Callithrix jacchus: one gene and its partner. The protein of the gene in region 2 interacts with the protein of the main gene of each other region in a biochemical or structural test. Links are inferred from orthologs where the notes say so. Each region holds a gene or a part of one and is shown on either strand. Other genes may lie near its edges.

The links. The genes of interacting proteins can lie anywhere in the genome.
Region 1: the proteins of TOP1 (region 2) and NKX3-1 form a complex in vitro, tested with the Homo sapiens proteins (2 studies listed by BioGRID and IntAct). The link is inferred for Callithrix jacchus from reciprocal best matches to the Homo sapiens genes TOP1 and NKX3-1.

Annotation. Positions count from the first base shown.
Region 1 is NC_133514.1:17,798,804-17,809,799, reverse strand, and holds NKX3-1 (homeobox protein Nkx-3.1), read right to left. Parts: upstream 5,250-10,996; 5' UTR 5,189-5,249; coding exon 4,936-5,188; intron 3,965-4,935; coding exon 3,546-3,964; 3' UTR 1,107-3,545; downstream 1-1,106.
Region 2 is NC_133506.1:36,460,898-36,471,793, reverse strand, and holds part of TOP1 (DNA topoisomerase 1), read right to left. Parts: intron 10,605-10,896; coding exon 10,461-10,604; intron 9,767-10,460; coding exon 9,581-9,766; intron 8,466-9,580; coding exon 8,397-8,465; intron 7,573-8,396; coding exon 7,458-7,572; intron 6,010-7,457; coding exon 5,882-6,009; intron 2,454-5,881; coding exon 2,359-2,453; intron 1,839-2,358; coding exon 1,689-1,838; intron 671-1,688; coding exon 568-670; 3' UTR 1-567. UniProt on the Homo sapiens protein: Releases the supercoiling and torsional tension of DNA introduced during the DNA replication and transcription by transiently cleaving and rejoining one strand of the DNA duplex.

The sequences.
Region 1 (10,996 bases), on a different chromosome or scaffold from region 2:
GTCTCAATCTGTAGCCCAGGCTGGAACACAGTGACGTGAACTTGGCTCGCTGCAACCTTTGCCTCCCAGGTTCAAGTGATTCTCCTGTCTCAGTCTCTGGAGTAGGTGGGATTACAAGTGTGCGCCACCACACTTGGCTACTTTTTGTATTTTTAGTGGAGACAGGGTTTTAACATGTTGGCCAGGCTGGTCTTGAACACCTGACCTCAGGTGATCCATTGCCTTGGTCTCTCAAAGTGCTGGGATTACACGTGACCCACCACAGCTGGCCAAAAGGGGAATTTTTAAAGACGGATTGCGGTGGTCTGTGTTCCCTTTAAGGTATTCAAGAAATGTAAGTAAATACTTGGTTGTTTTTTTATGCGAAAGATATTCATCGGCTGGAGTAGGTGATTATTTAATTTTTAAAAATGTTCATAGACTCGGGGGTACAAGTGCAGTTGTGTTGCATGGATCTGTTGCACAGTGGTGAAGTCTGAGCTTTTAGTATCCATTGCCTGAACAGTAAACACTGGACCCAATCAGTCATTTTCATCACTCTCCTCCCACCCTCCAACCTTTCGGAGCCTCCAGTGTCTCTTCCTCTACTCTGTAGGTCCATAGACACCCGTCATTTAGCTCCCATTTTGAATGAGAACATGCAGTTTCTGACTTTCTGTCTCTGAGTCATTTCACTTATGATAATGGCTTCTAGCTCCATCCATGTTGCTGCAGAAGACCATCAGATTTATTTGTGATGGCTACGTATGTCTTCCATGGTGTATATGTACCACATTTTAAAATCTGATGCTCTGTTAATGGGCATGTAGGCTCAACCCACGATGTTGCTATTGTGAATAGTGGAGCAGTTGATTATTAAACTGAAGAGAGAAAAGGACTTCCTCTCCTCATGACTTAACAGGAAGGAAGGCCAATGCCTTTATAAAAGGATGACCGTCACCAGCTACTGGGTAGGCTGAGGCTATTGATCGCCATAGGTTGTCATGGGTGTGTCAGGAGGACAAGGACAAGAGGATATGGTAATTATAAATGTAAATTATAAATTATAAATCTAAGTTATGCAGCATGTAGTTTTTAGGAAGCTGAAAATCACACAGATACATCTAATAAAGACATGGTTACTTTATTTTCAAAACACTCATATGTTGCAAAAAAATACATGGAAAAATAGTTTCAAGGGGGTGCTGACTAACTTCCGGTCACAGACTTTTATGTTACAGCTTGGAGCAGGGTTTGTTATGAATATAGAGAACCCAAACTAATTTATTAAGCAGGATAGAAACGGGCTGTCTGGTTCTGAGAACCATCCTGTTCACCTGTTAGATACGGAGGGACTAGCTCTTCAGATGTTTTTCAACCAGTTCAGAGATGGGTTAATGACTAGTTCCAACGGGGAACAAGCAAGGTGGGTTCACAAACCAAATGATTTTAAACCAAGATACTTTTTTTGCAGCACAACATACATCACAGTGAAACGTGTAATCCTTGCAGGTCTCAAGCTGAAATAATTAAATTCAGAGGACGGGAGAGAGAGTACAACAGGGACTGAGCACTAAACATATTTTTAGAGAAATGCACAAAGTAGAAAGCGACCCTGCCTTCGTGCTGTGTAGTGCTCTGGTGGGTGTTGGCAGCATGTGGCATTGAACATTTCAATGTGGATCCCCAGCCACAGAAAATGGGGTGAAATTGGCCAACTTTCTGTCAACTTATGTTGGCAATTTTGCCACCAACAGTAAATTTACCCCTTTAATGAAAGAAAATTGAAACGTTTCTCACTAAACAGAATTAAGTAGTGGAATCAAGAGACTTCCAGGCATAGCGTACCTCATTGGTAATTGTTTTGTTGTTTTATTTTTTCTGATGTCTCCTCCCCTCTGCCAGGTCACCTGAGATAACAGAATGAAAATGGTGGGATAGCCAGATTTCTCCTTTGCTCTCTGCTCATTCTCTCTGAAGTCTAGGTCACCCATACTGGGGACCCATTATAGGCATTAAACACAGTCCCCAAAGCGTTTAGACAGTTCCTTGTGTTTTGAAACAGGTTTTCTTTTTCTTAGTCTTTTCATGCCAAAGGCTCAGTCCCTTGCTTGCTCAGTGGACTGGGCTCCCCAAGGCGTAGGCTGCCTTCTTTTCCAAGTCCCACCCATGAGCCCTCCACTGGACAGCTCAGTGAGCCTGGCCCTTCCTTCTGTGCTGTGTTCTTCCTTCTCTATGAAAATCCAATACCTCTTACCTCCTCTACATGCGAGGATTCCCAATAATTGTCATACTCCGAACATAACAACAGAATCCCCAGAAGGTCCTATAAATGCAGCAGTGACCTTCTTGAGCTTTCAGGTCTTTAAACAGGATTGGGATTTAATGCTGCATATTTTTAAAGGAAAGAAGAGTTGCTAATTTTAAAAATGCATCTCTTTTAGCTAATTCAGAATCTGTTCCCCAGCTTTTTAAAAAAACTCAGGACAGATAAAGATTTGGCGGGCAGGGGAGAAAGAAAGAGCAGTTCTCAGGCCGATAAATGAGGCATATGTTAGGTGTGGCCAGACTAAAAGTTTGGACTAAAATGAAGCCTGTTAGTGAGTAATTGCTGCAAAAAAAGGAACAAAAAATTTAAAGAGGAGGGAAGGAAGAATGATGCTGTCTCTCAGGATTCAGTATATATGATAGCCTGGAAAATCCGGGAAACTTCTCATTCTAAATTCTCCAACCCAGGGGAAAAAAGTTGAGAAGAGGCCTTTCTGCTAATAAAAAATGCAACAGCCCCTAGCAGCAGTGTGAAGACCCTCCTTAGGCCCCTGTCTTGGACATGTGAAGATTCTCTGGCAAGGACCCACCACCTGCAGTGGAGTTCTGTTTATACAGCTTGTCTTAAAATCACAGCGAGTGTGTCTTGTTCTATTTGGGCCACCCTGTAAATACTCAAGTTGGCATAACATTTTAAAAGGAATAAGAAGGAATAAGAAGAAGCTGGTATTTCATCTCCTCCCACCCATCTCCCTCTCCCACGAAAATATGTGCTGAGCATGAGGGCGTTCTCTTGGAGACCTTCTATTTGCCCCTCTCTTTTACAGGGACAGAGAGAGAGCCTTGGCCAACAGGAGGCTTCTGGACTTAAGTTGAATTCAGTGGGTGACATCCTCATCCTGGTTGTCCTTTCTCCCTTTAGGTTTGCTCCTTCAGAGCTGATATTCAGTGACACAGGAGGATGGAGATGGAAAACAGCATCCTCAGGTGTACAGCTCATCCAAAATCATACAATGTGCTGGAAATAGCACTTGATTTTCCCTCTTTCCCCTTCAAGCAGGTAGCCAGAAGCAAAATATGGCCTACAGTGTGCACTGGGGGAATGAATGAGATATTAAAACTGCCACTGTCTGTGTTTTCATTGTCCCACCAGTGAAGAATCTGAGATTGCCAGGCAAATCTCCCACAGCTTTGGTGCGCACACCTGTCACACCCTGAGCTTGGCCCCTTGTGCTTTTCCGAGAGACACCCGGGGGAAGGCAGTTTTTGATCATACGTGGGTGTCACCTGAGGTGGCATTACCAAAAAGCTGGGCTCCAGCTGCCCACACAGTACAGGTATGGGTAGTAAGGATAGCTGTTATACACGGAGACCAGGGAGGCCCTGGAGAAGGCCTCCTCTTTCAGGGCGGACGAAGAGGCGCGCTTCTCCAAGTCTCCCAGCTCCGAGGAGAGCTGCTTCCGCTTGGTCTTATAGCGTCTGTTCTGGAACCATATTTTCACTTGGGTCTCTGTGAGCTTGAGGTTCTTGGCCAGGTGAGCCCGTTCAGGGGCCGACAGGTACTTCTGATGGCTGAACTTCCTCTCCAACTCGATTACCTGAGTGTGAGAGAAAGCAGCCCGGGAGCGCTTCTGCGGCTGCTTCGGGGTTTGGGGGAGGCTTGGAAGGGCGCCTGAAGTGTTTTCACAGTCCAACAGATAAGACCCCAAGTGCCTATCTGGAAAGGAAAGCGGGGAAGGAGGGAGGGAAGACAAAAGTAACATGTTAGCAGGGAAGAGACCAGAATTCAATCAACCCTTATCTCTTTAGTGAGTGAACAAACAGCCCACTGTCATCGTGGATACATTTCACTTTTTTCACAAGACAGACTAAGCAGCTCTCCCGAGGGAAGAGTGAGTAAATATGTTTATTAGGTATTCATTTTCGAAGAATCAGCAAGAATCCAAAGTTAGAGGCGTTTCGTGGTTGAACTTTCTCCCTAGTGTCTGGTAGAATTAAATGAGGATTCTGGATCTGTGTGCTGAGGAGAGGAGGGAGAGGGAGGCAGGGAAGACGCCGAGGAACCAAATACCCGGGAAGGCCGGACCAAAAGGCATCCGGTGTTAGGATCTAGGTGGGCAAGAGAGGGCTTGTGCCTCGGGAGAGGCAGAGGCAGGCTCATTCAGGGCTTTAATTCCCTCTTCGGTAAACGCGGCGTTGAGTGGTCGCATCAGAAGTGGCAGGAAAGAAAATCAGTGGACTCTGTCTCCTGGACACCAGAGGGAACCCCAATGTACCACTTTACTGCCCACAGGATTGGGAAGCACACGGTCTTTGCTGGGCAACCCCTGCTTTGTCACTATTAATAAGTTATTATTAGTTCTCGTAACTACGGTGGGGCTGGCACCGATCGCGGGTGGCGCGGTGGGATCCGCTCCCGGGACGATGGAGGGCGGTTGCTCTGAGGTGTGCGCTGGGTTCTGAGCCCCAGGGAGCCTAGGGCATCAGTCTGGGTGAGCCCTGCGGTGTCAGAATCCTGTGCCGCCCTGACGCTGGGGCTCAGGGTTCATCCCCGGGGCGCACGCATGGCGGGGGGGGGGGGGTCGGGGAGATCCCTCCGTCTGTGGCCGCGGGGCCCCAAGTCTCTGCACCCCGAGCTCTAGGGGGTCCGCCTCGGGCAGCCCCTCAAGCCCCCGCCTCGCCGCTTACCTGCCTCGGTCTCTGGCGCGGCCGGGAGCCCAGAGCTCAGCTCCTTCTTCTGCGCCCCGGCACCGCCGCGTCCTCCCTCCGGCTCTGGCTCCGGGTCCCGCTGTAGCGGGGTACCCCTGTGGCCACCAGGCGGCTGCGCGCCGTCCCGCAGGATGTCCTGGATGAGGAAGGACGTGAGCGGCTTGGACGGGGTCGGCGGCGCTGCCCCCTCCGCTTCTGCCTCCCCTGGCCGCGGCTCTGGAGCCCTGAGCATCCCGGCGGCCCGGCTCCGGCCTGACTCCAGCTCGGCTGTGCCAGCCTGCCGCGCCCGTAACGCTTTCACTTTCCGCCGCCCAGTGCGCTTATAGCCTCGGGGAGCGCGCTGCGCCGCCTTCCCATTGGCCATGGGACGGGTCGCGCCTCGGATTGGCCGCCCAGCGCTCCAGGTGACTCCGCAGAGCATCGAGTCCTGGGCGCCGCAGGGCTCCACTCCTTTCTAGGTGATTCCTTCCCCAATTCCCACTCCTTTCCCAGCTCTCCTCCCTCCTCCCTGAGCCGTTTTCCCAGGCCGGGAGGGAGTGCACACCAAAGTGGGACTCCTCTGCCCCACCCACCCGCAACAGAAGTTGAGACGCTCTTGGGGATGGGATGACCAAGACAAACACTCCAGTTAGCTCTTCAGGACCGTCAGAGCCAATCACAGGGTGTGAGGGCGCAGTCACTGCCGCCGCATAGTACCGTGAGAGTTCTGGGAGCTGTCTCTCTCAGAGAGATGGTGGCAAACAGATCTGCAATATCTGCCGTCTCAAAGAGGCATGACGAGTAGGTGAAGCCTGACCCCAGCCTGAGAGAAAGAAACCACCTTTGCCAAAGCCTTTCCCCAAGTGGGTTTCTTTGGCCTTTCCTTTATCCGCAATAAGCTATTAACTTTCCTTCTGCCCTAGACAGATGACATACCATCCTTTTGAAAAACTTCCAGACAGGTGGAAGGCGTTTCAGACCAGGACAGACACAAAAACTGCATTCAAAAAATAGTTCAAAAGAACATCAGCATACACTTTTTCCAGATTACCAACTGTTAACATTTAATCCATTGGCTAAACAATGGGTTAGCCAAATTGGACCAACCAGGACTGTGATTGGACTGGATGGTACCATGACAATGGATGAAGGTGGAACAGAGATGCTAGAAGTATTTTCTTTGCTCTTCCCTTTTTACGGACAGGGTGTTGCTCTGCCACCCAGGCTGCAGCGCAGTGATGCCATCATAGCTCACCGAAGCCTCAATCTCCTGGATTCAAGCGATCCTCCTGCCTTGGCCTCCCCACAGGTGTGAGTCAATTTGGGCCCATGATGGAAGTACTGAATGAATGTTAAATTTACTGAAGTTGCGCACTGTACTGTCAGTGTATCAGAGAATACTTTTAGGAAATAAACACTGAAGTACGTAGGAGCGAAGGCACAAGTTCTATGAAACTTACATCAAATGGTTCTGAAACAAGCATGCAGATTGATAGATCCCACTCAGCAAAGCCAGTAGGTTAAGTGGTAACGGTAATCTGGAAAAAGGGTAGGCTGATTTTTTTGAACTATTTTTTTTAATGCAACTTTTAAGTCTGTCCTGGTCTAAGATGCCTTCCATTTGACTGGAAACTTTTCGAAAGGTTGGTATGTCATGTGTCTCTGGAGGAAGCAAAGTTGATGGATTATTGCTGATAACGTGACTGCAGAAAACTACCTGTGCAGTGGGCAAGGCTTTGGCAAAGCTGGTTCTCTTCTCTCATCTTTTCAGTCTCTTTATATTCGAACATTTTAAAAAATGTTTTCTTTTGAATCATTGTAGATTCACAGGAAGTTGCAAAAATAATACTTCCAGTGTCTTCTTATATAACTGTAGGACAATATAAAAACAGAAAATTTACACTGGAACATTACAGTTAACTACACTACAGACCTCATTTTATTTATTTATTTAGAGACAGGGTCTTGCTCTGTTGTCTAGGCTGGAGTGCAGTGGAGAGATCATGGCTCACTGCAACTTGGATCTCCTGGGCTCGAGAGATTCTCCCACCTCAACTTCCTGAATAGCTGGGACTACAGGTGGATGCCACCATGCCCAGCTAATTTTTGTATTTTTTGTAAAGATGAGGTTTCACCTTGTTGACTAGGCTGGTCTCAAAGCCTGGGCTCAAAGAATACTTCCCCCTCGACCTCCCAAAGTGCTGCGACTACAGATGCGAGCTACTGTGCCTGGCCTTATTGTGGTTTAATTTTTAAATTTGTATTTCACAAATGGTTAGGGATGTTGAATATCTTGTCATGTGCTTGTTTGCCATCTGTATTTCCTCTTTGATGAAATATCTGTTCAAGCCTTTTGATCATGTTATAACGGATTTTGTTTTAATTATTGAGTTGTGATAGTTCTTTATGTATTGCCGTATGTAAGTCTTTGTTGGGTAGGTGGTTTGCAAATATTATCACCCGGTCTGTAGCTTGTGTTTTCATCCCTTTAACAGGATCTTCAATGGAACAAAAGTTTAATTTCATTGAAGATAAATTTTTGATTTTTGAATTTTGCAAATAATGATTTTGATGTCATGCCTAAGAACTCTTTGCTTACTCCTAATACTGAAGATTGCTCCTATGTTATCTTCTAAAAGTTTCATGCTTTACTCTTAAATCCATGATTCAGTCTGAATTAATTTTTGTGTACAGTATGAGGTTTAGCTTGAGATGGCCTCCTTTCATTTTTAAAATTGAGAGCTGGGTATGAATTATTTAATAACAAGTACTGCCATTTGGAAATTATAAAGTTCTATTCTTATGACAAAATAAATTCCAGACAGCTCAAAAATGTAAAACACAAACAAGCATGCGAAAAAAATATTTTAACTACACTTCATCACTAAAGAAATGCAAATCAGAATCACATCAAGACAAGCCTTTTCCACCTTTCAGATGGACAAAGGTTTAAAAAATGGATAATGTCCAGTGTCAGTGAGAGTGTGGACAGACAGGTGCTTCACACAGTCATGCACGGCATGAAGGTGTTTGGTCAGTGACAGACAGCATGTATGATGGTGGTTCCATAAGGTTACAATGCTGTATTTTTACTGTAGCTTTTTATGTTTAGATGCACAAATTCTTACCATTGTGTTACCTTTGCCTGTAGTATTCAGTACAGTAACATGCTGTACAGGTGTGTAGCCTAGGAGCAATAGGGCATACACCATGTAGCCTAGGTGTATAGTAGACTATATCCATCTAAGTTTGTGTAAGTAGCTCTATGATGTTTGCATAACAACGAAATTGCCTAACAATGCATCTCTCAGAACATATTCTTGTTCCTTAGGATGCATGACTGTTTTTGGATGGCACCTTGGCCATATTTGTCAAAATTAAAACTGAGCATATCCTTTGACACAGCTATTCCGTGTTTGGTGATTTGCCCTAGAAATGCACAAATACACGATGTATTGACTTGGGAACATATATTCAATTTGGTCAGAGACTGGTTCAAGCTGCAAAATATGTTGTAGACTAAACCCATTGTATAACATAGCATTATAAGTTATCTATATAATGTTCTACATTTGAACACTTTTACATGCAGAATATATCAGGAACAAGATATACACATATATATTCTTTTTTTCCATAGAGTAGTTATTTCTGCTCAGTGAGATGGAGAGATGGAGACAGTAGGTAGGTTGGGAGAGGGACAGGAGGAGAGTGGAACAGGGTGTATTTCCTTGTTCTCATTGATACTTAAAAAGAAAACTGTAAAGCTAGAGCTGAGCCTGAACTGCCCTCCTCCACTGTGCCCTCCGCAGGCCTGTGAGTGGGACCACAGCTCATGGTCCTCAGCCTCACTTCACTGCACCTTTCCTCCCCTTGTGCTTTGTATTTGGGGCTGTGGATGCTCGTCTTTATGAGACTGTGAGCTCCCTGAGAAGGGACTGTATCCTCCTCATATGTGTACCTGGCTTAGTTTTGACATACAGAAGTTGCTCCACAATGCTTTCTGGCTGAATGTCCAGCTCCAGTTGTTATGAGGTATCTCACTGGCTAGCAGAATGATCCTAAGGGGCCAAAGGACCTCCAGGCAAATCACAGTGGAAGGCTTGTCCTCCTCCCCTTGCTGTGTTTATGCAGCTTAAACTGGGTGAAAATGTGCAAGGCAATCTGGAGACACTCAGGGGCTGCAGCCCAGAACAATGCCCCATCCCAATGATGGCCAACCCCTAATCCCCAGATTCTGTGAATATGCTATGTCAAAAGACAGCAAAATTAATGCTGCAGATGGAATTAAGTTTACTGGGTTGCTGACCTTGAGATGGGAAGGTTATTCTGGATTATCCAGGTGGGCCTGTTGTAGTCACAGGGGTATGAGGCCGGAGAATCAGACTCAGACAAGCAGATGTGACAGTTGAAGGAAGGCTAGAAAGATTCAACTGTGCTGGGCGCAGTGGCTCACGCCTGTAATCCCAGCACTTTGGGAAGCTGAGATGGGCAGATTATGAGTTCAGGAGTTCAAGACCAGTCCGGTCAACATAGTGAAACCCCGTCTCTACTAAAAATACAAAACTTAGCAGAGCATGATGGTGTGCACCTGTAATCCCAGCTACTTGGGAGGCTGAGGCAGGAGAATCACTTGAACCCTGGAGAGGGAGGTTGTGATGAGCCAAGATCCTGCCACTGCACTCCAGCCTGGGCAACAGAGCAAGATTCCATCACAAAACACAAAAGAACAACCAAAAAAACCTCAACTGTGGGAAAGACTCAGCTAGCCCTTGCTGGCTTTAAGGGTGCATGGAGGTCAGGAGCCAACCGATGCAGGCGACAGGGAAAGAAAAGTGGATTCTCTTCTAGAGTGTCCAGAGAGAACACAGCCCTGATGACACCTTGATGTTAGCCCAGTAAGCCAGAGTGGGCTTCTGATCTCCAGAACTACAACATAATAAATGTGCATTGTTTCAAGCCACTAGCTTTGTGGTGATTTGCCACAGCAGCAGTGAGAAACTAATATAGGGGCACTGGCAAAAGAGCAGCAGTGATGAAGAAGGTGCTACCAGCTCGGCCTCAACTGTGCAGATGTGAACTTTGGATCCTTTTTTTCCTTTTAAGTTGAAATATCTGTTTATACCCATAATCCCATCCCTTCATTAAACTGTTTTCTTTGTGTATTTTCTTTCAGTCTTTGGCTATCTTTGATGGTAGGATAAATATAATTTTGTATCCTTTTTTCCTCCCAAATTCATATTGCATATAAACATTTTTACATTGCTCCATTACATGTTTTAGAAACCATCTAAGAGCTAGAAGGGACCCCAGGATTCTCTAAGTAAATGTCTTGCTTTTCTAGGAGGGAGCCTCAAGTCTGCAGAGACGACAGAACTATATCAAAGTTGAGTCCCCAAACCTCTAGGCCCGTCGATGTCTCCACTGCCTCACCCTCCATCCTTCCACCCACTCCACCTGCCTCCGCTGCTACCCACCAGCGTAGGAGCACAACCAGAGCCCGTAGACTCGGCCCCTATATGTGTGTTTGAAAATGTATCTGTGTTTTGTTTTAATCAGGTATGGTAAGACTCACAGACACAGAAGTGACTGTCATGAAGGAACAAGGTGTTTTTTATTTTCATTTTTTGAGACAGAGTTTTACTCTGTTGCCCAGGCTGGAGTGCAATGACATGATCTTGGCTCACCGCAATCCTCACCTCCTGGATTCAAGCGATTCTCCTGCCTCAGCCTCCTGAGTAGTGGAGGTTACAGGCACATGCCACCACACCCAGCTAATTTTTTTTTTTTAGTACTCCATGTTGGTTAGGCTGGTCTCGAACTCCTGACCTCAAGCAATCCCCCTGCCTCACCCTCCCTAAGTGTTGGGATTACAGGTGTGAGCCAGTAATAAACCCAGCCCAGAAGAAACTATTATACTCACAGACCCTAGAAGCAGGGGGCACAACCTGCAGGGCCACGCAGGGAAGCCCCAGGGTCCGTTGGGATGCACAGGGGGCAAGGGTAAAGCCTGTCCGAAGACTTTATTGTGGTTTTGATGGAAAGGACTGGGTTAGGTGAA
Region 2 (10,896 bases):
AACACTGCCAATGCCACGACTGCTTCAAGTTTAATGAAAATTGATCCCCATGACAATAAAGAGTGACGACTCTAACAGGTGCGCTGGGTTTTTTTTTTCTATTTAATTTTAAATTCCTGAAATGGGGGAGAGGGGAGGGAGTTTAGGAATTTATTTCTATTAAAATATAGAAGTTATTGCAAAACCCTAACTGTAAAAACGCACCAATATAATCGGACTTTGCATACAGTAGCTAAGAGAATCCAAACATTTCAGTGAAACAGTGAATTTGCCTTGTAGAACGCTGACAAATTCCCATCCACTTTCCCTCTTGAAAATAAAAACAAAATTCAAAACAAATCATACAGCTAGAATTTTGATATCTGAAATATTTTTAAATAAGTTGTCCATAGGACAACTGGCTCAGCTCTCCCTTATAATATCTCCAGGTTTATCTTTTCGCAAAGATGTTGGTTTGTTAAGACTTGCTGCCTCTCTCCCCCGGAAACGAGGGCAAGCGAGGCTCAGTTTATCCATCTTTCCCAAACCACACTGTTCTTTTCACAGAACTCTGCCCCTTGAGACTGGCTAAAACTCGTAGTCTTCATCAGCCATGTCAATGGCCCAGGCAAACTTTTCCCTCTGGGTTTTGTTGTAAATCTTCTCAATTGGGACACCCCACTTCTTGCACCTGCAAATAAAGGAGAAATAAGGAGGATTAGTGTGACTCAGCAATGGCCCAGATCTGAGGCCTGGGGTCTCATGTGCCATCTTCTCTTTCACATCTGTCTAGTGAGAATGCAAATTAATGGTGCACCAACCATGTTCTAAGGGTTTCATGTGATCAACTCATTTAATCTTGACGGTGATCTCTAAAGTAGGTGATTCTGCAGATGTACAAGTGAAAAAGGGCCAGATGAAGACACTGAGGCGGAGACGTTAGGTAATTTACTTATTTTCTCACACAGCTAGCTGATATGTGACCTGAAATTTGAACCCAAACAGTTTTTCTCTGTATTATTAACCACTATACTATATAGCCTTTCAAGAACTAATCACACCTCTAACACCAAACAAGGCAAAATGAGCAGAAAGAGGTACAAAAGAGCTATGTGGAACCTTTGGCCTGGACTAGCAAGTGCCCTAGGGGAGGATATCTCCACCTATGCCTGGAACTTAACAGGGCAAACTCAACATCTTCCAAAACAAAGCCACTTGTTTCCAGTGTGACACACAGAGACCCCAATATTTATATGCCTTTGTTATAGGTCCCTCTACCTCTCTGTTTGTATTCTCATCTTTGTTTTTATCTCTTGTTCCTACCTTCAACTGCAAAAAAATTAACGAAAAGTTCTATTGAAGGGTATAGATATATGGGCTCTTTCCTATTTTTCCAGAGGCTGAGTTTCCATTCCTGTCCTAAAATTCCATAAGGAATAGGGATAGCACCTGCCTCTTAAAAGCATAACATACACTACAAGGCAGTATGACAGCACTGACCATCATTTAGGACCATCCAGGATGTTGCAATGCATTTACAGACAAAGTTCAGCAACCAGAGTACCCTGTACACAGCTGAAGCGAGAAGTTTCCCCATAGGACTAGAAGTGTACAACTTAGGAATGGCATGTGAAGGCCACCAGTGCCCTCGAAACCCCCTCCACCTTTCTCAAGCTAACAGTAGGAGCTCAAGAGGGCTCAACACTTACCAAGCCACTGTGATCCTAGGATCCAGATAATTGAGTTTGGAGGTTCCCAAGGCAATCTGTTTATTTTCCTCTCGGTCTGTGGCTTGAACTTCTAGTTTCATCAACTGTTCCTCCAGTCTCTGCACAGCCTTCTTCTTTGACTCTACTACCCTAGAAGAATAGCAGAGTCCTCAAGAACCAGGCCTGGGCTCAAGACAAAAGCACACTGTACCCATCCTGCCACTTAGCGTCAATAAAAGCCCAAGTACAGAGATTTCCAAAAGATATCACTCAGACCAGCACTTTGGGAGGCCGAGGCGGGTGGATCACAAGGTCAGGAGATCGAGACCATCCTGGTCAACAGAGTGAAACCCCGTCTCTAATGAAAATACAAAAAAAAAAAAAAATTAGCTGGGCATGGTGGCGTGTGCCTGTAATCCCAGCTATTCAGGAGGCTGAGGCAGGAGAATTGCCTGAACCCAGGAGGTGGAGGTTGCGGTGAACCAAGATCGTGTCATACACTCCACAGCCTGGGTAACAAAAGCAAAACTCCGTCTCCAAAAAAAAAAAAAAAAAAAAAAAAAAGCTATCACTCAGAAACCATAGAAAAGCTGGAACCCCAGGGCCTCTGACAGATGCTACGCAAACTTTTCTCTACCAGCCCCCGACTTTCACAATACCAAGTACATACTTCTTGGTCTTTGCATCCTTCATGACCTTGGCATCAGCCTTAGCACTTTTCAGGTCCCTTCGGGCGTCTGCTAGCTGTTCCTTCTTGGCATCAATCTAGGGGAAATAATAGTGGTAAGGTTAGAAGCTGTAGAGAAAAAAAATGGCTCCATCAGAAGTGAAACCTAGATGTTATCTCCATCAGGCTGTCTCTCTCAGTGGATGGTCATATAAAAACACCAAGGGTGGCTTCATGAAGGTAGAGAGAAGATGCACAAGGACTACTGAATTCAACTATTTGTTCTTCAGTGATCCTCTGAGAAACAAGGGTTCAATAGGGCAGTAACCTGCGGGGTTGAGGAAAAGGAACCTGCTGGGGCTGGGAATCTGAGTGTTGATATTTCCATCAGAGAACACTCTGCCATTAGTCATCTGGAGGGGGGCTACAAATGACAGCTGTTTATCAAATAGATCCTGTTCCAGTTTTTAGCTTTCATTCCAAGAATACTGTAGGAGCTACTCTCTAGGAAGCTGAGGCAGGATACTTGCATCGACTGGGCAACCCCAGCTCATTCCTCAGATCCCACCAGTACTCTGGGAAGGGGGTGCCGGCTTCTCAAGGAAAACGGATGCACTGAACAGAGTACCCAAGGGGCTAAAAACTGGCAATTAAAAGGTACCCAGGAAGCCAAACAGCTCAGCCAGTCTGTCCCAAACCAGGACATGGCAGGGCCTGGTTTTGACATTCTGTTTTTAAAGGGGAGAGGTCCGAGGTGGAAAGGACCTTAGTTGTCACTCAATGGATGTGAAAATACTTTTAGCTGTGGAGCTTTTTCTCCCCCAAGTGAAATCTTGTGGGATCCATATCTATGAGGGAAGAGACATGGGCAGTTTCAGCCTTTCTTGTTTGTTAGAATCCTTGAAGCCCCCTGGTGAATCTAAGTTCTTCTTAGATTCCTCCTTAGAGACAGCAGTGGGCAACAACATGGAGCTAGAGCCCCTGTCAGTGAGCTCACACTGCTGGGGGGGGTGGGGGGGTGGGGTCAGAAGAACCCCACACAAATGATCATCTAGCTGATCTGTGAGGTTAAGACAACCTCCACAGAGTAAATAACATGTCTGACACACACTGGGCTGCTCACTGAGACTAGAATTGTTTGTTAGATACACACAGCCTGAGATTGGAAACAGAGGCCACCATTGTGAGAATCATTGAATATGTTTTACTATGAATGGCTTACTTCCAATATCTATGTTGTCCAAAGCCAAACTGAGGGGACTGATTCTATATACAAAAGCATCACAGACACCACTAGCCAGATTCTTTTTAGGCTAGAAATGCAGCAAACCACAATCTTTTAACCATTTCTGTGAATGCTAAATTGGCAGGCTATGTCAAATTCTCTCAAAGCATCAAAGACTCCATTGATTCACTTGGCAAACAGGGGCGTGTGTTTGCTTTGTGGGCACACAGGAGAGGAATCCTGGGCTTGGAGGCCTCGTCTGGCAGGCAGCCTGGGCTACCCAAACAGTGGTTCCAGAGTGAGAGCAACAAAAGACCTCCTCATGCTCCTGGGAGGGGTCTTCCTGAATTAGGTAAACAGCACCTGAATATTCATGCTTTTATTTCTGGCTTGGAATATAACACGAGAAGAATAAACAATTCCAGATGACCAGCATTTAATAAAGTGGCAGCAAATGTGAGCTGCTAGGATGGGTGGTCTATCTATAGGGTACTTTGCCTGCCAACCATATGATCCAAAGACTCAAGAGGTCTATGGATGTATATTCATTCAATATGGACATGTACATCCCTTCAAGAAAGCCAGATGGCATCTTTAGCATAAACTAATGGTTGTGTATACCTTTTGACCCAGCTGTACTACTCATGGGTATTTATCTTAAGGAAATCTCAACAAATGAAAAACATTCTGGGCCTTAAAATGCAGTCTTATTCCATAGTAGTAGTTCTTAAACTCCAGCTGTACAAGTATAGAATTCCATAAACTTGATGAGAAATTTTTTTATTTTTTTTGTGAGATGGAGTTTCGCTCTTGCTTACCCAGGCTGGAGTGCAATGGCACGATCTCGGCTCACCGCAACCTCTGCCTCCTGGGTTCAGGCAATTCTCCTGCCTCAGCCTCCTGAGCAGCTGGGATTACAGGCACGCGCCACTATGCCCAGCTAATTTTTTGTATTTTTAGTAGAGACGGGGTTTCACCATGTTGACCAGGATGGTCTCCATCTCTTGACTTCGTGATCCACCCGCCTTGGCCTCCCAAAGTGCTGGGATTACAGGCGTGAGCCACCGTGCCCAGCTGAGAAAAAAATTACTTCTATAATATCGTTAACCCCAATTTGAAATTTATTTGTATTTTTAAAAAATATTAATAGTGACAGGGTCTCACTATGTTGCCTAGGCTGTTCTTGAATTCCTTAGCTTAAGTGATCCTTCCACCTTAACTTCCCAAAGTGTTGAGATTACAGGTGTGAGCCACTGCACCCAGCCTCTAGCTGAATTTTGATATTTCTTCTTCAGTTATGAATATGGGCAACAAACCATAGTAATAGCGGCAGCACCTACGACTTTATCATCAGATGTTATAGACATTTTCACACTTCATATTTGAATTGCTGTAGAAATCTTAAATTATCATTTATATTCATTAATTACTACCTTGAAATTTATTTCGGCCACCTCAAGACCTTAATAGGAAGCATAACTATTACTATATTGGACTTTAAAATATATTTTGATAACTGTATTTCAATATAATTGGTTTCCTTTTTAACCCTGTGTATCTGTTCTGTAATGAAATAGCCGCACATTTTCACTGTGGGCCACCAAATTAGGATGAATTAGTTATGAAGTCATTGCTAACACAAAAATGCTCATTATCAAATGTTAACTGCCTTACGGTTTAAACACTCAGTACCAGGAAGAGTTAGGAGGAGGAAGGAGGCTCATGGACTAGGAACATCACCTATTTGCACATCAGTCTTTCCCTCTAGAGCAGCAACTTGTCTGGCGTGTCAGTTTTCAACAGATGTTTGATGATATATAAAAATATGATTCATGTGGAATGCATAAAAATAAAAATAGCTATGCTAGGATTGGAAACACTTTAAATATATAATTGTTTCATCATCCTTTCAATTTGAAACAATCTAATTTGGAAATAGCTGTATTTCTGGGGGCTGTGGCAAGGAATTGTGAAGACTCGCTTTAAATCCATTTTCCTCATGTATAATAAGAACAGTAATTAGCAATTAGAATGTGCATCAAAGTTAGCTTTTCAAAATAGGAAGTGGCCAGTATAGAACTTCTGTCTGTAGAATTAAGATTTCTTGAACAATGGTACTCTGATACTCAGTATTTTGATCAGAGATTACTAGTGTATTTCCATGTGTTTATCTTTAGCATGGACCTTCAAGAACAGACCCAGAACTGGCCTGCATATTGATATCTAAGCCCCAAAACCTCTCATTTGCAGATGATCTGCCCACAGCAAATCATGAAGTTCCCTTCATTTCATCCAAGATACCTTAGATTGCAAGTTCATCATAGACTTCTCAAAAGTTTTTGGTGGTGCCCTCTGATGGTTACAAAGAATTGCAACAGCTCGATTGGCACGGTTATAAGAAAGGATCTTCGCTGGGATGTTCTCATCCGCTGTAAAGAAAGGAACATGGTAGCAAGAGGGTCAGTTTGTATGCCAACAGTGAACACACAGTAGTGCCTCCTCCCCATGATCTTACTGGCCCTTATCTTACTCAGGTAATTCAACTTGCCTCCAACGCCTAAGATCAAAATTTGAGCCAACAGTCATAAGAAAATAGGAAGTTAATATGTAAGCTTGGCCTGGGTAAATTCCCATCACAAGAGGAACTCTGAGGTAATATAATAAAATCTACACCTTTCTTTTTACTCAGAGAACTTGGCTAGGGACCCTTCATCTCCTTGCTTCCTCCCTACCCATATGCTTGTCATAGGTGCTGCTGCTATTATTACTATGGTTTGTTGCCCATATTCATTAAGTTCTATACTGGCCACTCCCTGCCTCCCTGCCTCCCTATCTCTCTACCCAATGTAGCCTGAACAAAATGAGGAACTGAAGAGATGTTAAAAGTTAAAAAAATTTAAGCTATGAGTGGTAGTATTATTATGATTATTATTATTTTAGAGATTGGGTCTTACTCTGTCACCCAAGCTGGAATGCAGTGGTATGGTTGTGGCTATTGCAGCCCTAAACTCCTGGACTCAGCCTCCCAGGTATCTGGGACTACCACTACACCTGCCTAATTTTTACAAATTTTTGTAGAGATGAGGTCTCACTATGTTGCCCAGGCTGGTCTGGAACACTGCTGGGTGCAAGTAAGTCTCCTGCCACAGCTACCCAAGTGCTGGGATTACAGGTGTGAGCCACTGCACCTGGCCTGGTAGTATATTATTTAAAAAGAAAAATTGTAAATGTCATCCAAAAAAATTGTTTTTACTTGTATAAACAGTGTCGCATTCTTTCTATCACCTTAAAACACTGACCTGAACATACCTACCTCTGGCTTTTCTGGTTCATATTCTAAGGCCATTTGACGTATTTACAGAGGGCAGTGGAAATTCATTAGTGACTGGGCTCCAGGAAAAAAAAAGTCCGTGATCTTGGTGATAATATTCTAAAAATTGGCTATAGAAAGTATCTACTCTCTTACAGGGAAAAAAAATGATAGAAACTTTAGGGAAAGGACTTATCCCTGTATCTTTCTCATAAACATGACAACTTTACTCTCTTCAATTTAACAGAACATCACAGCACTGCCTTCACTCTGTGAGCTTTTAAGTAATATATTAATAAAACACAAATGCAGGTATTTTCATAGCAGGTAAAAAGCTGTCAGCAATCCATGAAATTAATCTTGAAGTTGGGGTGGGAAGGGGGAAACAGCACTGATCTTAAGTTTATACAACTAAGCATTAGCTAACTATTAGAGGTCTAAAGAGGAAAAGTGTCTGATCACAATGGTAGGGAAAAAAAAGTAGAACTGACTCTAGGACTTAGCTAAGCAAGGACACCGGATACCATGAGTAGGGGTGTGGGCCCTGTCCAGCCAAGTAATACTTACGGGCTGTGAGTTCTTTTAACTGCTGTTGTAGCGTGATGGAGGCGTTGTATGTACGGAATACCTTGGCTGTTAAGCCCTCCATGAGATCCTGAAGATGCTTATTTAGAATACCAGTCTGGAGGAGACAATGTAACAGAGACTTAGGTCAAAGCTGTACTACCTGCTCCTTCTGGCAGCCCTAGGAGTAATTTATACCAGTGCAGTCACAATCGTGTCAAGTTTATTTCCCTACAAGTGAGAAGTTAGGAAAAGAATTCCAGAATACAGGGTTACATAATGCCTCTCTATGAAGTATTTCAGTGTGCATGTGTGTGTACGTATGTCAGGGTCTCATTCTGACACCCAGCCTGGAGTGCAGTGGTGCAATCTCGGTTCACTGCAGCCGTCACCTCCTGGGCTCATGAAATCCTCCTGATGCTCCTAAGTAGCTGGGACTATAGGCATGGACCACCACGCCTAGATAATGATTTTGCCATGTTACCCAGGCTGGTCTCAAACTCCTGACCTCAAGGGATCTGCCCTACTTGGCCTCCCAAAGTGCTGGGATAACAGGCGTAAGCAACCAAGCCTGGCCCAGTATTTTGATCTTAACAGACCAATAAAGCAAATTTGTCCTTCCCTATCAAGATCTCAGGCACAGGTTTTGGGTCTCCAGTAGGGATGGCTGGGCATTCAGTGAAGGGAAAGCTCTGCAGGAGCAGGGAAGGGATAAAAGGTAGGGTTCATCTACTCTCACCTTGAGGGCCTTAGCATTTGTTCTACAGCAGATGTGTCTTCTCTTGGCCACAGATTCACCGTGGGCTTGGAGGGAGGAAGAGAGAGTATACAGGATGCCACAGAGCAGGCCAGGCTAAAGGAAGAGCCCGTTATCTGCCAGCAACCCTCCCCTTGAGGTTCTGGCTGGGAATCCCTTCAACCCAGTGTGCTTTGTCTACTCACATTGAGTCTATCAAAAAGATCATCCTCAGGCTGCTTGTTCTCCATAAATAGTTGTAAGTTCTTAAAAACCTAAAAGAAATAAGTGAATCCCAATTATTACTCTTTTAAAAAAATCCTTACATTAGAAATAATCCCAAACTTACAGAAACTTGCAAAGAAAAAAAAGGCACAGGAACATGCATACATCCTTCACCCAGATTCACTGTTAACCTTTTACCTCATTCATCATTTGCACAGGGCACATGTATGCTCACTCTCTCCGCATGTATATTTACAGATATATATACATAATTATTTGCTCTGGGCCATTTATAAGTACTTACTTATCATACAGTCCTTTAACCCTAAATATTTCAGTTTGTACATTGTAAAAATAGATATACCCTTACATTTACACAGTATTTATCAGCTTCAAAAATTTACATTGATACCTACTGTTATCTAATCTACTGTCCACAATCCAATTTTGTCACTTTATCTGATGATGCCCTTTACTTCATCAGTATAGAATCCAATCTGAGGTCAGGCATTACATTTAATTGTCAAATCGCTTTAGCATCTAATAGAGTACTCTTCCACGGCCAGCAAAGTCTAATTACTGATTAAATCTGAGACTGCTGCTGGGCTGGATTATTAGTATCCTGCACACTACAGGTCTCTGGTTCCAGCCCAATACTTTGGAAAAGATCAGGTTGGGACTATGGAGCTCTAGCACCCTCTTCAGTGGTGGGATCTGGGGACTAACAGATTAACCTTTCACTCAGTCAGGAGTTGGAGAGAGGCTAAGTAAAGATGCCAAGTGACAAATGTCCTTATCAGAAAGGTAATACAGGGTGGGACAGTGACTAAAAGGAGGTACACAAGACATCAAATATTACCTCTCCCCTCTTTCAAGTCATTTATTTATTTTAATTTTAGAGGCAGGGTCTCACTCTGTTGGCCAGGCTGGAGTACAATGGATATTCACAGGTGTGATCAGAGCACACTATAGCCTCAAACTTTTGGTCTCCAGTGATTCTCCTGTCTCAGTCTTCTAAGTAGCTGGGACTACAGGCATGTGCTACAATGCCTGTCTCAAGTCACTTTTGCTGGTACCCAGCAAACTGCAGAGGACACAAAGCACTCAAGCAATGCTTGTTGAATAATGAAAAACAAGCCAGACAATACAGGCTAAATTAACTTACACGTTTCTCAACAGGGACCTTGTTGTAGTATCTGATGGAGTCCTTTCCAAGGAAGTCAAACTCTACCACGTATTCCTGACCATCCAACTCTGGGTGTAGATTGATGTGCTCCACACGAAGTGAGCAGCAACCCACAGTGTCTGCTGTTTCTCCTTCCTCCTTTTCATTGCCTGCTCTCAGAGCAAGCTGCCCAGGAAAGAAAAGATGACCATGAATGAAGAGACATGACCCTTATACAATTTCTAGGAATCCAAAACAGAAGCCTTCCAATTCTGTTTGAGGCCAGAGCATCAGTCAGCATGGCCTGGAAACTCTGGATTCTGCAGTGTTACTTCCTCCCCCGCCCCCTATGAAAACTAGTTAAATAGTCAAGCTTCTCTTCTCCCTATTTTGTCTTCTGAAATGGGGATGGAGAAGAAAAAAATAAAGTAGCAAATGAGGGAGTGCTGCTACTCTGGGCAATCAAACTCAAAAAGCTAGTGTGAATTTTGAGACAATTCAAAACTTACGTTAAAATAAGCAGTACAAAATTGGGAAAAACACAAATATTTTTTTCTTCTCATGAGTACCAAGAAATTGGTCTCCTCTAGAGCATGGTCTTTCAAACTATAATGGTGATACCTGCATGGTTTATTTAACCAATTTTATGAGTTATAACCAACTTTTTCTAAAGGAATGAAATAGAGTTAAAAAAAATCTGAATCTACTGCTCACAGGCTAAGCATTGTTTTGTGCAACTTTTGATTCAGTTATACACACAAATATATTTATATGTGTGTTGAGCTGTGATATACAGTATCTGCCACAGGGCTTGGGGCAGAGCAGAAGCTCCCTTTGTTAAGCTCAACACCAGACAATGCTGATAGGAAGATGCTTTCACCTTGTCGATGAAGTACAGGGCTACGGCTCTCTGCCGGACTTTCATCTCTTTGGACTTCCAGTCTTCTCGATACTGGTTCCGGATCTTGTCCACACATTTTTTCAGCCGTCGAGCAGTCTCGTATTTCTGCCAGTCTTTCTCACCCTGAAAAGACCCAACCCCAAAGGTAGTTTACTTCGGGACAGTGTAGTAAAGACAACTTTGAATATCAAAGTTCAGAACTCTGAATGGACCAGGCACAGTAGCTCACGCCTGTAATCCTAGCACTTTGGGAGGCCGCGGCAGGCAGATCACCTGAGGTCAGGAGTTCAAGACCAGCCTGACCAATATGGCGAAACCCTATCTCTACTAAAAACACAAAATTAGCCAGGCGAGGTGGCGCATGCCTGTAATCCCAACTAGCTAATCGGGAGGCTCAGGCACAAGAATTGCTTGA